Drosophila melanogaster: one gene and its partner. The protein of the gene in region 1 interacts with the protein of each later gene in a pairwise test. Each region holds a gene or a part of one and is shown on either strand. Other genes may lie near its edges. The genes, in order: mon2 and spir.

What was found.
Region 2: the proteins of mon2 (region 1) and spir interact in a two-hybrid assay, tested with the Drosophila melanogaster proteins (one study listed by BioGRID).

Annotation. Positions count from the first base shown.
Region 1 is NT_033779.5:8,117,905-8,125,881, reverse strand, and holds the start of mon2 (monensin sensitivity 2), read left to right. Parts: upstream 1-1,871; 5' UTR 1,872-2,067; coding exon 2,068-2,190; intron 2,191-2,446; coding exon 2,447-2,578; intron 2,579-2,636; coding exon 2,637-3,173; intron 3,174-3,349; coding exon 3,350-3,921; intron 3,922-3,978; coding exon 3,979-4,409; intron 4,410-4,472; coding exon 4,473-5,188; intron 5,189-5,298; coding exon 5,299-5,637; intron 5,638-5,724; coding exon 5,725-6,378; intron 6,379-6,474; coding exon 6,475-6,662; intron 6,663-6,815; coding exon 6,816-6,978; intron 6,979-7,032; coding exon 7,033-7,955; intron 7,956-7,977. Other genes in the region: CG12375 (uncharacterized protein), read left to right, coding at 1-79; CG8673 (uncharacterized protein), read right to left, coding at 161-1,077, 1,145-1,490. UniProt on the Drosophila melanogaster protein: May be required for traffic between late Golgi and early endosomes.
Region 2 is NT_033779.5:20,309,632-20,314,472, forward strand, and holds the start of spir (spire), read left to right. Parts: upstream 1-1,587; 5' UTR 1,588-2,188; coding exon 2,189-2,783; intron 2,784-4,841.

The DNA of each region.
Region 1 (7,977 bases):
GGAGAAGGAGGGAAAGCTGCGGGTCAGCAAGTCTGCGGATGAAGAGTTCTATGTGTACCAGCCAACCAGTGCGCTCTAAATTCTTGATTTTCCTTTTTTATTTTGTTGAGCGTATATAACTATTTGTTTGTAAAAAATTGTTAAATAATTTTCATTTTCTTTATACCTGGTTATCACACTTTATGGTGTCGTCTAATAACATATTCCACAAGGTAAACTGCTCGTTATTCCTTACCATATGGATGGTAATTTTGTCGCGGATGTGGCACGTCTCGAATTTCGTCCGGGTGTTAGCCATCTCGCGCACATTTACCCGCCGGATGTTCAGACTTTCAGCCACAATGCCCGTGGTGAAGACATCTTCCAGCTTTAAGAATGCAGTATTCAGGGATTGGACATACAGAGCGTGAACAATGTCACCAGTGAGCAAGTAGGCGGGTCCGGTGGTGAAGTAGGGAAAGGTAGGCTTTCCATACTGAGCGTTGGATATGTGATATTTAGACCACCTGTTTCGAATGGGTTTCCAATTTTCGGCCCGTCGTCCGTAGATCGTTCTATTGGCTTTAAGCGTGCTAATGAGGGTCAATAACTTCGGCACGTTGATGAACATGTCATCGTCCGTCTTGAGAACGTACTTAGCCTTCGGACAGTGAAGATCAGCCCATTCCAGCAGAGAAATGGTCTTCAGAGTGAGATTGTTGTACGAGTCTATGAAGTGTCCTCTTATCAGATCCTGGTACATAAAATCCTCCTGATCAATGGCCTTCTTCACCGATTTGTTTTTGCCTTTTCCCAGGACAAATGCCATGCCCACGTCCCTTCTGCTGCCGTAGTGCATCCAAGTCTGCCGTATGGACATTCTGGCTGCCGAATGCCGAAGGGATGAGGTTATTAAAACTAACAACTGCGTCGATAACCCTTTTTGCGGACATATTCTTTCCATATCAATCTCACTGTCCAGGTGACCAGGTTTGTAGATAGTTTTCACAAGCGGCATTCGGACAGGAACTTCGGTATCTATTGAATACAATACCACTGATTTCTTTGCTAAAATATCTTTTGAGTCTAGCCCGTCATCTGTTGAAGAAAAGCAAAGTAACAACATCAATATGAGTCGACTAATGAATAATTAAATAGTTCTCACCATGGAGCTTTTCCTCATCAATTCTTCTGCTTCTAATTGCCGCAATAGAATCTGCAACATTTATATTGCCATCAATAGTTGTATAGATATCCTTGTTGCCTTCACTGCTGTTTCCTGAAATTTGAACGGCGAATCCATCGTCGAAATCTTTAATAGGCTCCCTAAAGGATCTTAGCCGTATCGCTTCGCCCACTAACTGTATTGCAGGATTTTTTGACATTACATCAGGTTTCGCTGTCGTAAAATAGTCGACTTTTTCCATTACCCCTACTTTGGAAACGTACGTGAAGACAGTAAAGCTGACAAGGATTAGTATCAGGATGCAGCGCAGCAGTCGGCCAGCCATGGCTATAAGTTAGTTCTAGTTTTCCGGGAATGTGACCGCTCTACAAGGTGGATTTGAACCAAGCACCCAAAAGTCATGTTTATAAAGTTCGCTTAAATAGGCAAAACATGAAAAGCATACTTGACAGATTATTTTTTAGTCTTATCTTATCCTTTTTGGATGTTGTATTTATGGAATTTAACGTATATGGCTTTTGGGATTAGGGCCTCATCCTGGTAAAGATACTTCTTCCTTGCCATTATCTTTATTTTCCGTTTCCGGCGACCCACAAAATTTCACCGAAACTCCTGCTCTGTTAAGGGCGCTTTTCAGGCCACTGTTGATGATGGTTCTGCTTATGTTAGTTAACATGGCCAGCTCGCGTTGCCAATCACTAGCAACTCTGCACTGTGTACGTCAGCTGTCAAAACGAATCACAATTTTTTCACGGCTTTCATTGTGCGCTGCATTATTATTGCATTTTCTCGAGTCCAAAGTGGTTGCGTAGCATATGCGTGTATCGGTCGCAGTACTTAAATGTCGCACGCATCCGGTGCAGTGAGTGTCAAGTGACCAGGAGCGAGTACAACCAGTGACCATGTCGTTTGTGGGCGGGGGCGGGTGCGGTGGCCAGGACGTGCACAAGTTTGTGGAGGCCCTGCAGGCGGATTTCAAGACCCTCTCGCTGGAGACCAAGAAGAAGTATCCTCAGATCAAGGAGGTGAGTCCTGCTGACGTGTGATTCACGGCCGTGGTTGTCTAATTGCGGCACTTATCCGCCGACACACGAGTGTGTGTCACCCAACAACCCAGTTGGGTGGTGGTGGAAGGACGTCGGTGGGCGGGGGGTGGTTTGCTCTGGTTCCACCTGTGCTTGCTCTACGCAATTATGAAATTGATAGCCAGCGCATATGAAATTGTTTTTATGACATTTCCACCTGCAAATTAACTCTCTAACGTTTCCAATTCCCAATCAGGCGTGCGAGGAGGCCATTTCCAAGCTCTGCACAGCTGGCAGCAGCCAGCAAAACTCGGTGTACTACACCGTCAACCAGATACTCTATCCGCTGGTGCAGGGATGCGAGACCAAGGACCTCAAGATCATCAAGGTAAGAGCAGCCATTTATATAGTAAATATATCTAATTGCTTTCCTATCTTTTTTCCAGTTTTGCTTAGGCATGATGCAGCGGCTCATCACCCAGCAGGTGGTGGACCAGAAGGGCGCCCTATACATCACCAACGCACTGTGGACCCTAATGGAGAACAACATCGAGGAAGTCAAAGTGCTGCAAACAGTAACTCTTTTGCTGACCACCAATACGGTGGTGCACGGCGACACATTGGCCAAGGCCTTAGTTCTGTGCTTTCGCCTGCACTACGCCAAAAATCCCACAATTGTGAATACGGCCGGTGCCACCATCCGGCAGCTGGTGTCCCTGGTGTTTGAGCGAGTGTACCTGGAGAAAGACTCGGTTTCCAGCCTCCAGCAGCAACAGTCCAGTGGTTCGCCAGCTGAGGGAGAGGGCGGAAATCAGGATGTGCAGACCTTTGCTTCGGATGCATTCCTGCTATTTCAGGATCTTGTGCAGTTGGTAAACGCGGATCAGCCCTACTGGCTGTTGGGCATGACCGAAATGACGCGCACCTTTGGTCTGGAGTTACTTGAGGCCGTGCTGACCAACTTCAGTGCCGTGTTTCACGAGGTATGTTTACAAATCGGCCTAGACGACGAATCGACTTTCAAGTCTTTCGATTTAAACAATTGTGCTGTTTCTATAGGAGTTTAGATCAGAAAATAAGCAAAAGCAAGTCTGAAATTTCAGAGTTCCAAAAGATCAGTTTTATTTATATATTAATTAAATCCTTTTTTTTTCAATAGAGTAACGACTTTCGACTGCTACTTAAGGAACGAGTCTGTGCCTTGGTCATAAAGCTCTTCTCGCCAAACGTCAAGCATCGCCAGCTGCCTGCACCAAGCAATGGAAACGCTCCTGTGCCGGCCGAGAAACCCTATTTCCCAATTAGCATGCGTTTGCTGCGCCTCGTGGCTATACTTATACAAAAATACCACACTATACTGGTAACAGAGTGTGAGATCTTTCTGTCGCTGATTATCAAGTTCTTGGATCCGGATAAGCCAGCTTGGCAGCGAGCCCTGGCCCTCGAGGTTATCCATAAGCTGGTGACGCGCTCTTCACTGATTGCATTCTTCTGCAAGTCGTACGACTTAAAAAATCATGCAACCAATATTGTGCATGACATGATTGCTGCCATGGGCAGCTACATTCGATATTCCCTGATCAATGCATCGGCCATGCTGAATGGCCAGCAGAATGGAGTCGCCAATTCACTGACAGCCATGTCGGGAAGCAATCAATGTGGCTTCATGTTTCGAGGTGCTTACCTTCCCTTGGTAGCCACATATGCGCCAGGCGTCTCAAAGGCCGTTTAGTAAGTTGAAATATCAGCTTTTTTGTATAAAATCTTATTTATAATTTTATTTTTCAGCTTGGAAATGTTGGATAAGATAGATGCATCGAATATTCCCGACAGTTATGGCATCTCGGTTGGGCATGCTATTCTACTGGATATGACTCGATCGATTGGAGGTGTCATTCAGCGAACCCCGGAGCTTCATCCCAGCCACAATACGGCAGTGATCACTGAGGAGGAGCACAAGCCACTGTGCCTCCAACTGGTGAATTCCAGCTGGTCTGCCCTGCTCAGCGCTTTTATTCCGTTGGTTGAGACGTCGATTGACGAGGCCACCACGGAGAACATCCTCAAGGCTATGCAAAATTATGCAGCTCTGTGCGGAATGCTGGAGCAACTGCAGCCCCGAGACGCCTTTATAATGGCCATGTGCCGCGCCTCCTTTCCGCCCCACTATGCCATGTCCATATTTGCCAATACCACACAGTCGGATGGTGACTTGAGATGTAAGTTCTTAATTGTATTTATTATTTATTGTGTATTTATTTATCCAAACCTATCCGTTACAGGTCACACGCGCAGTGGTAGTCAAGATCTAAGCAGCCAGTTCATCAATAGCTGTAGTGGCGATGCAGGAGACTTCCGACCCCAGATCGTAGCGGTGGGTACACCACTGCCATCGGCATCGCTGCCCCACAGCGTGATGCAAGCGCCCGTGATGCTGACTAACAAGAATCTACAGTGTATGCGAGCTATTCTTTTCCTAGCGCACAACAATGGTGGGATTTTGGGTACCTCCTGGCATATTGTGCTGCAGACGCTGCAGCATCTAGTGTGGATCTTGGGGCTGAAACCTTCTACCGGAGGCAGTCTTCAGGCCATGCCAAAGCCAGCTGTAGAGGCTAATGTGGGAATTCAAACGGCAGTGATGGCTGATCTTCCGGTCCTGTCACAAATGCTTAGCCAGCTGTTCGAGTCCAGTCAATATCTGGACGATGTAGCGCTGCATCATTTAATCGATGCATTGTGCAAGCTCTCCCACGAGGCCATGGAACTTGCTTATGCCAATCGGGAACCATCGCTTTTTGCGGTAGCCAAACTGCTAGAGACTGGCCTAGTAAACATGCCCCGCATAAAGGTATTGTGGCGACCACTTACAAATCACCTGCTGGAGGTGTGCCAACATCGACATATTCGAATGCGGGAGTGGGGCGTGGAAGCCATTACCTACCTGGTGAAGTCTGCCCTACAGTTCAAGCACAAAACGCCCCTCAAGGAGAACATGGTAAGATTACCCCTCTGTATTTCTTTAACAATTATTGTAGAACGTCACTGAAAAGTGTTTCAAAGAAATAGTACCACAACAAAATGCAAATTTACCCCTTTCACGTTTAGGAACTACAAACAATGCTGCTGAGTCCACTCTCTGAGTTGTCTACTGTCCTGCACGCAGATGTACGTCAGCGACAGCTGGATTGCGTCCTTCAGATCCTAAACACTGCAGGGGAAATCCTCTCGTTTGGCTGGCCAGCCATTATTGAGATCATTGGTGCTGTAAACGAGCACCATGGCGAGCCGTTAATTCGCACAGCATTCCAATGCCTGCAGTTGGTTATCACAGATTTCCTGACCGTAATGCCATGGCGGTGTCTGCCGCTGTGCATCAGCACTGCTGCTAAGTTCGGCTCCCAGACCCAGGAATTGAACATTTCTTTGACGGCTATCGGTCTCATGGTAAGCTATGTTATACATATTAGATAAACTGTTGCATACATAGTATTATTATTATTGAGTTACTTTAATTTTGTACTTTGATTGCAGTGGAATATTTCAGACTTCTTTAATCAAAACCAAGACAAGCTAATGTCCACTCAGCTGCAGGATGTGTCCATTCTGCCCGACTTCCCAGGCACAGTGAAGATGCCGCAGTTCGATAAGTTGTGGATGTGCTTGTACGCCAAGCTGGGCGAGCTGTGTGTGGATCTGCGTCCGGCGGTGCGTAAATCGGCCGGCCAGACGCTCTTCTCCACCATCTCCGCCCACGGCAGCCTGCTTAATCCGCCCACGTGGCAGGCGCTGGTCTGGCAGGTTCTCTTCCCGCTGCTGGACAACGTGCGTGCTCTGAGCAGCTCGGCCAGCAACGAGAAGGTGGACGCCAGTGGCAACATTCTTATCCATCACTCGCGCAACACCGCCCAAAAGCAGTGGGCAGAAACGCAGGTGCTGACTCTATCGGGCGTCTGCAGGGTGTTCAATACAAAACGGGAGCTGCTTCAGATGCTGGGTGATTTTGAGCGAGCCTGGTCACTAATTCTAGAGTTCATCCAGAATGCTGCGTTGAGCAAAAATGGTGAAGTTTCACTTGCTGCTCTGAAGTCTCTACAGGAGATCATGTACCACAACACAGCAGAGCGAACAGAGAGGGCATTGAAGGATCCTCAGACGGCACAGGAGCAGGACGAGGAAATTTGGACTGTGAGTAGTTTAGAGATTAAGATAGCTGTCAACCAAAGTGGTTGTCTTTTGTTTATTTATACTAAATGAACTTTTGTCTTTCCTACTTTTGAGCAGATTGCTTGGAACATTTGGCTTAGCATTGGCATGGAGAGCACCAAAATGTCCACATCGACGTCAGCGAAGTTGCAGCAGCAAAATAGCAATGGCGCCGAAACTCAGGAGGACTTTTACATTCCCAGTCAGGCCTTCCTCACCGCCCTGATCCAAATCTTTCCCGCCATTTTTCAGCACATTCAAGTCAAGTTAGTAGACACACCTACTTAGGAAGAACGCATTGTCATAGATTCCCCAAAAATATAATATATTTTAAATTGATCAATTTATACATTTGCTATGTTTAATATCGTTTAGCTATTTTTTTCAAAACGATTAATTTATATTTGAATTGTTTTCAGATTTACTGCCGCAGACTTTGACAAATTCTGTACGGTACTGACGAACGCTGTGTGCATTCCCGTCCAGACCGATGCGGTTCCCTACATCATGTCCACTGTGTCGGACACCCTGCTGACGCCGCTACACGATGGCATTCTCGATTGCATGGAACTAATACAGAAGGCAAGCATTTACAAGACAATCCATTATAATATATAATTAATAATCTTTGAATAGGAGGCGACAAAACCCGATTCCCACATCAGCCAGCTTATCCCTGCCATTTTCCGGCAGTTGCTGATCTTTAGTAAATTCGCTTGCGCACCGCCCACATTTCAGCAGAGTGTGGAGCACAAGTATGCGAAGTCCTCGGGACACTATGCCAACAATGCCTCCGTTGAGGTGGTCAGCATGAACTACATACCTTTCGGTGAGAAGTCAATCAGTATTTGCGTGAAGCTTTACCAGACCACGGCCACCGAGGATTCGGTTGTGCAGGAGCAGATTCTGCATGACATCGTCAAGGCTCTGCGCACGCCGCTGGCGATGAAGTACAAATGCCTTTCCTCCAGCACATGGAAGCTGGCCATTTCCAGTCTGATTAGCGTGCTGCATACTGGTCTCAAGGTGGCGCGAGCTAAGCCGCAACATTTCGCAAGCTTGTGGGACGATTTGGCCGATACCCTGGACAAGTTCCTGTTTCCGGCGAGTGTGTGCACCATCGAGGATCGCGGTCTCGAGGAGATCGTGCTGGATGAAACGATCGATTGTCAGGTTATTGAGCTGCTGAGGGACGAGGTGTTGCCTCACTCGCACGAAATGCCACACCAGTTTATCATGCAGATCGTAGTGCTGCTGAACAAGGGATCTATACACTCCGCCTCAGACACGAACATTTGCTACGAATCCGACTGGAAGCTGCGTGAGATTTTTGCCAAAACGTGTTTCGAGACCCTTCTGCAGTTCTCGCTGCTAGAGGACCATGCCAACACCAACAACAATCGTCTCAACGCCAATGTGTTGACTGCTGGGGCCGCGGGAGCAGGTGGCAAGGACTTTGCCGGCAGACTAGCAGTCACCGCCCTGTTGCATCGATTCCAAGAGGTGCTCAAACGGTTTAACGACGATGAGAGACAAAGCGGAAAGTGTCCGCTTCCAAGGTACGATTAGATTAAAAATAAT
Region 2 (4,841 bases), about 12 Mb from region 1:
GGTGTTCGAACGTCTGCTTGGTAGACATTCGCTGTTGTCATGTGCGGCGCGCCGGTGGAATCCTTTATCCTTTATCCTAATCCTACCCTCGCAGGATGCCGTGCTAATTGCTGTTGCGGCTTACAATGGTCGAGGGCAGTCGTTCATGCAGACGTCGGGTCTTTTCGGCTTGGGTGATGTTGAATTTTCAGTTATTTCTTCATTGATTATTTCTATTTTTGCTGAGTGAGTTGTGGTATTCGGCTTTCTTTGCTGGAGGTTTTCTTTCAGAAAGTCTAATTCGGCAGTTAATTTCGGTGCCGTTGCCCATGGGGGCGGTGTTTTATTTGTATATCATAGCCACTTAATATGTGCTATACCTTTATTTTTGATTTCCTGACATCCGCGTTTGCCCATTACCACACTCTACTCACTCAGTATTTTTGTTTCTTTTTTTTTTCATCAGTGTCCCGTCTCTAGGTCTCCCGCACTGGTGTAAGGGGCGGCCTGCCTCTCACACCTGTTGTCGCTGTTTAGAATTCCCAAATCAAATCGGCAATATTAGCAGCATTTCCTCAGTAGTCCTCAGATCGCAGGCTCCTGCCTCACGGTCGCCATGTAATAAACCAATATATGCCACCAATTGAGAACACGTGTTTTCCTTGCAGTTGGGTGCAGCCGTCAGGCCACCTTTTTATTTCTTCTTATCTCTTCGAGTAGCAGAAACGGTTCTGCCCGCTTAACCTCTACAGAGTGTCTAATCTTACCTAAATACTGCGACTGCGCCGCCGTCGACAGCGGCAGAAGAGCAGCGTATATATATATGTATAAGAGAGAGAGAGAGAGAGCTTATGCGCATATATGGCCAGCGGCCAGCGTGGGGATGCTGACTTAGCTTAAAGCATAAATGGGTGATCTTATATCACGCTCACTTGAGACATTTATTTATGCAATGCAACTAAGTGTTGCTGTGTACTTATAGGTACAGTGTACCCTCGATATATGCACATACTACAATATATTCTTGTAATCAATGTTTATATTATGTAAATCAGCTGTCGCTCCCCAAAAATTCCTTAATTCCAATTAGAAGACAACGAAAAAATTTCTCTTTATTTACGAATAAAAATTGTCCCTCAACTCCAATTGGAACGGCTGATCCGTCAACATTTTAGTCGGCAACACTTTAGTCTGCAACATTTGGGAATGTTGCATCATCTTGTTGCTATGCATGTTTCCACGGAAAAAGAGAGTATATCATAACAAGAGACCATTCACTTTTTTCGTTTTGAAGCAACAAATTTGAAAAGAGAAAACTTTATGTTTTTCCCGCGGGCTTGTTTGTTTTTTTTTTCTCGCTCTCCGTCGAATTGACTCTACATTTTGATGTGATCTTATTATTAGGTGAATCAGCTGTCTTCAAAAGAACAGTTTTAATTAAAAAAAAAATCCCTCAATTCCAATTCAAATTTCATTTAGAACACAACGAAGATATTTCTCTTCTTGTACGAACAAAATGCTCTCTTAACTCAAGTTGGAACGGCCGTTCCGGCAACATTTAAGTTGGTAACATTGTTGCATGCTGCATGCATTTGAGCACAAGAGTGTCATTTACGATTAGCAACTCGCGGCGAACGGACGTGTGTAAAAAATAGCCGGTGAGAAAAAACGAAGTGCGATTGCCGAAGAAAAACAGAGAGATTTCAAATAATAAAGAAATGCAAATGAAACAGAAGAAAATAAAAATAAAGCAAAGTGCGTGATTTCCATCTCCTCAGTGTTGTGAAATTTCTAGCAGAGTCTAACGGCGATTTGCGAATGCCGACTTAAGAAGTGCGAAAACAAAAACGTGACGCCAGTTTAAAATATTCTCAAGCGAAAATCATGTGTTTTTTGTTATACCCTGTGCTTTGTGTTTAATGTAGCTGACGACAAACAAAATATTAGAATCGTGTACGTCGGGAATCCGAATTCCATCCCCTCGTGTTGTGTTATTATTGTATTAAAGTTTCCTTTGCCATTTACCACACACAACACAGAAAAACAACAACAACAAAACTAAACCAAAATCGAACCAAAAACAAACCGCGAATTTTGCAGGTTAGCCCACCCGAAAGAGGCAAAAAAATCAATTATATGTTGGCCAGTGCCGGGTTTGCAGTGGAATCGGGTTGAAAGCCATCGATAGCCACACACGCCCACACACATAATGACGGAGCACCAGGCCGAGGAGCAGGCGGACACGCCGCCCACCAAGGTCAAGGCCACGCCCACACCCACCCCGAGTGGAAAGTTCAAGGACGCGAAGGAAGACGCCTTCCTGTCCACATCGCCGGACAGCGCCAACGGCGATGCCCAACACAAGCTGCCAGCGGACCAGCTGGCCATGTCCTCCAGTGCGCATCCCCAGCAGGCGGGCCAAGCCCGCCCGCTCATCCTGCAAGCCTTCCACCGCTGCTCCTCGCCAGAACAGTGCGTCACGCTGCACGACATCCTGGACTCCTTTAAGGCGCCGCTCTCCGAGGACCAGGCCTGGGCCCTGATCCACCAGTTCGCCGGGCTCTACCACCAGGTGGCCGTACAAGCGCACACCTGTGCCGCGGACTACGAGGCCGCCCTGCCCACCGGATTCGAGCTGCACTTCCATCGCGACGGCAGCGTCCACTTCTCCGGCCCGGATCAGCTGACGCCTAAGGAGCAACTGCAGCAGGAGCAGATCCCCCTCCCCCCGCAGCACGACGTGATTGTGGATCAGCCGGACCACAGCGCCAGCAGCAGCGGCGACAGCAGCGTCATCAACAGAGGTAAGCAGACCGACCTACTGAAAAATCAATATGCATACATATTTCTCACGGCTACAGTTAGCGGAAATTAATATTCCTGCAGTTTATGCCAGTTGTTTAATTAACGGAAATTAACTTAGTATGAATCTTCTATTCCTTGAATTTTTAATTTATTATTTTTTAAATCATGCTGAAAATATTTGAACTAAAATTGATCTATAGTCATAGTTATTAATGTTATAACATTTATTTATTAACGTGCTGCACACAACTGGCAATCTTTAGAATCTATATAGAAGTGGAAATGTTCAATACAACATTGATCAACTAACAATTTGGATTGATAACCTAATGAACCTGCCAACCCCAAATGACATTTTAATGTCGTTTTTCCTTACAATTATAGTAACATGTTTTAATCACAAATAATTTATTGTACATTGCACGCAAATGCAATTTGACTACCTTTAAGCTAGCAACCCGTGTATATTCTTTCGACTTTGTGTTAAGTTCTGTATCCTTTGAGCAATATTTCCTATTATTTTTTATGAGTCTTCCTAAAGATATATATATAGTTTATGTGTATTTCGGCCCGTCAGAGGTCAGTTGGGTGTTGACTTCAGATGCGGAACTGTAACAGTGATGAAAACTGGGGCTGTGATTAGCTGGGCCGGAAAACCGGTTGCGCTGATGCCTCTCCGAATGCTGAGGGGTCTTTGTCTTTTCGGCAAACGCTTTCATTTTCAGTTAATAAGCCACAGTTAACTTCTTTCTCTCGGCCTTTTATTTTCGGACATCTGCCGTGATGTGGGTTTCCGTGTGCCATCCATCTGACTATTGGCATCGCCCGGCCATCGCCAGCGGAGTCCCCAGCGCTTTCCAAACAAACAACCCACACTATCCGCCATCCGATGATGACCTCTGCATTTAAGTTATGCAGCCAGCCAGCTTTGATTGGGGTTTTCCCCACTTCTGCCTTCTGTCTGATTGCGTGCTGGCTTGGGAAAGTGTAAACGGCGACTCCCATGAAGAAGGTACCATCCCAGTACCCTATCAGCAGTGTTTTTCACTTTCTTTTGTAGCTCGGAGAGCACAAGTATCACTGGAAGAAAGGCAGGTCATGTTCGGATTGGGCAGAAGATTGAACGCTTTTCCTTGCCGCAATACAATCGAATCCAAATCTACGAAAGTAGATTTTTTCCAGTGTAACGATCACAGCCTTTCCTTTCGGCATTCCCCCTGCATTCGCTGTAATTGATGGGGGGATACTTTTTCGCCTCTCGATCTCTGAATCTACAGAACGTGTCTGAGTCTGTCTCGCAGCTAATTGTTTAATCATTCGTCTGCGCGGGGACTGTCAAAATACAGGTCGGTAATCTATCGACTTTTAGATAAGCCACGTTAATTGGAAAATGCGTTTCTGAGTGGGTAGTGATGGGAATCTTGGATTTCGTTCTCCTAGGTGGCCCTTAATGTGACTCAGCTCAGCTTTTGGTCTGCAGCATTAACTGCATTCCATTGCATCTTTCTTCGTATGGGCCTGTCTATCTCTATTTGGCCAGGCCAACTCTGCCTATAGCCGGCTTTTGTATCAGCGTGGCCAATTAGTTAGCTCTTATAGACAATTAGCCAGTTACATGGGTAATCTTAAGGGCACGCAGATACAGGAAGTTACAGTATTAATTGAACTGTGTAACTCGGAGGTGAAGGAACTATAGATGGCTGATAATGCTGTAGGAAGTCCTAGGGGATTTTAAAACCCATTTCAGTATACTACTTAAAATTCAGAAATTTTCTTTTATAAATAACTTAAAAAATGTTCTTAGCTCTTAAACCTCTGTAATTAAAGGTCTGTGATCGTCAATTTCTTATCTAAATTCACACGTAACCTTTGTTTATGCTTATCATCAGAACTTTCCTCGGGCCAAACAGAGATCACCTTGTAACACCTTAATTGCCGCTAATTCAGCCGCTAAAATCCAAGCCATTAGGTGAGATATCGAAAGGTTTTGGCCCGGGAACCTCGAGAACCGCCAGCGGGGGCAATTAGTCTGCTCAAACAAGTTATTACAGATGGGA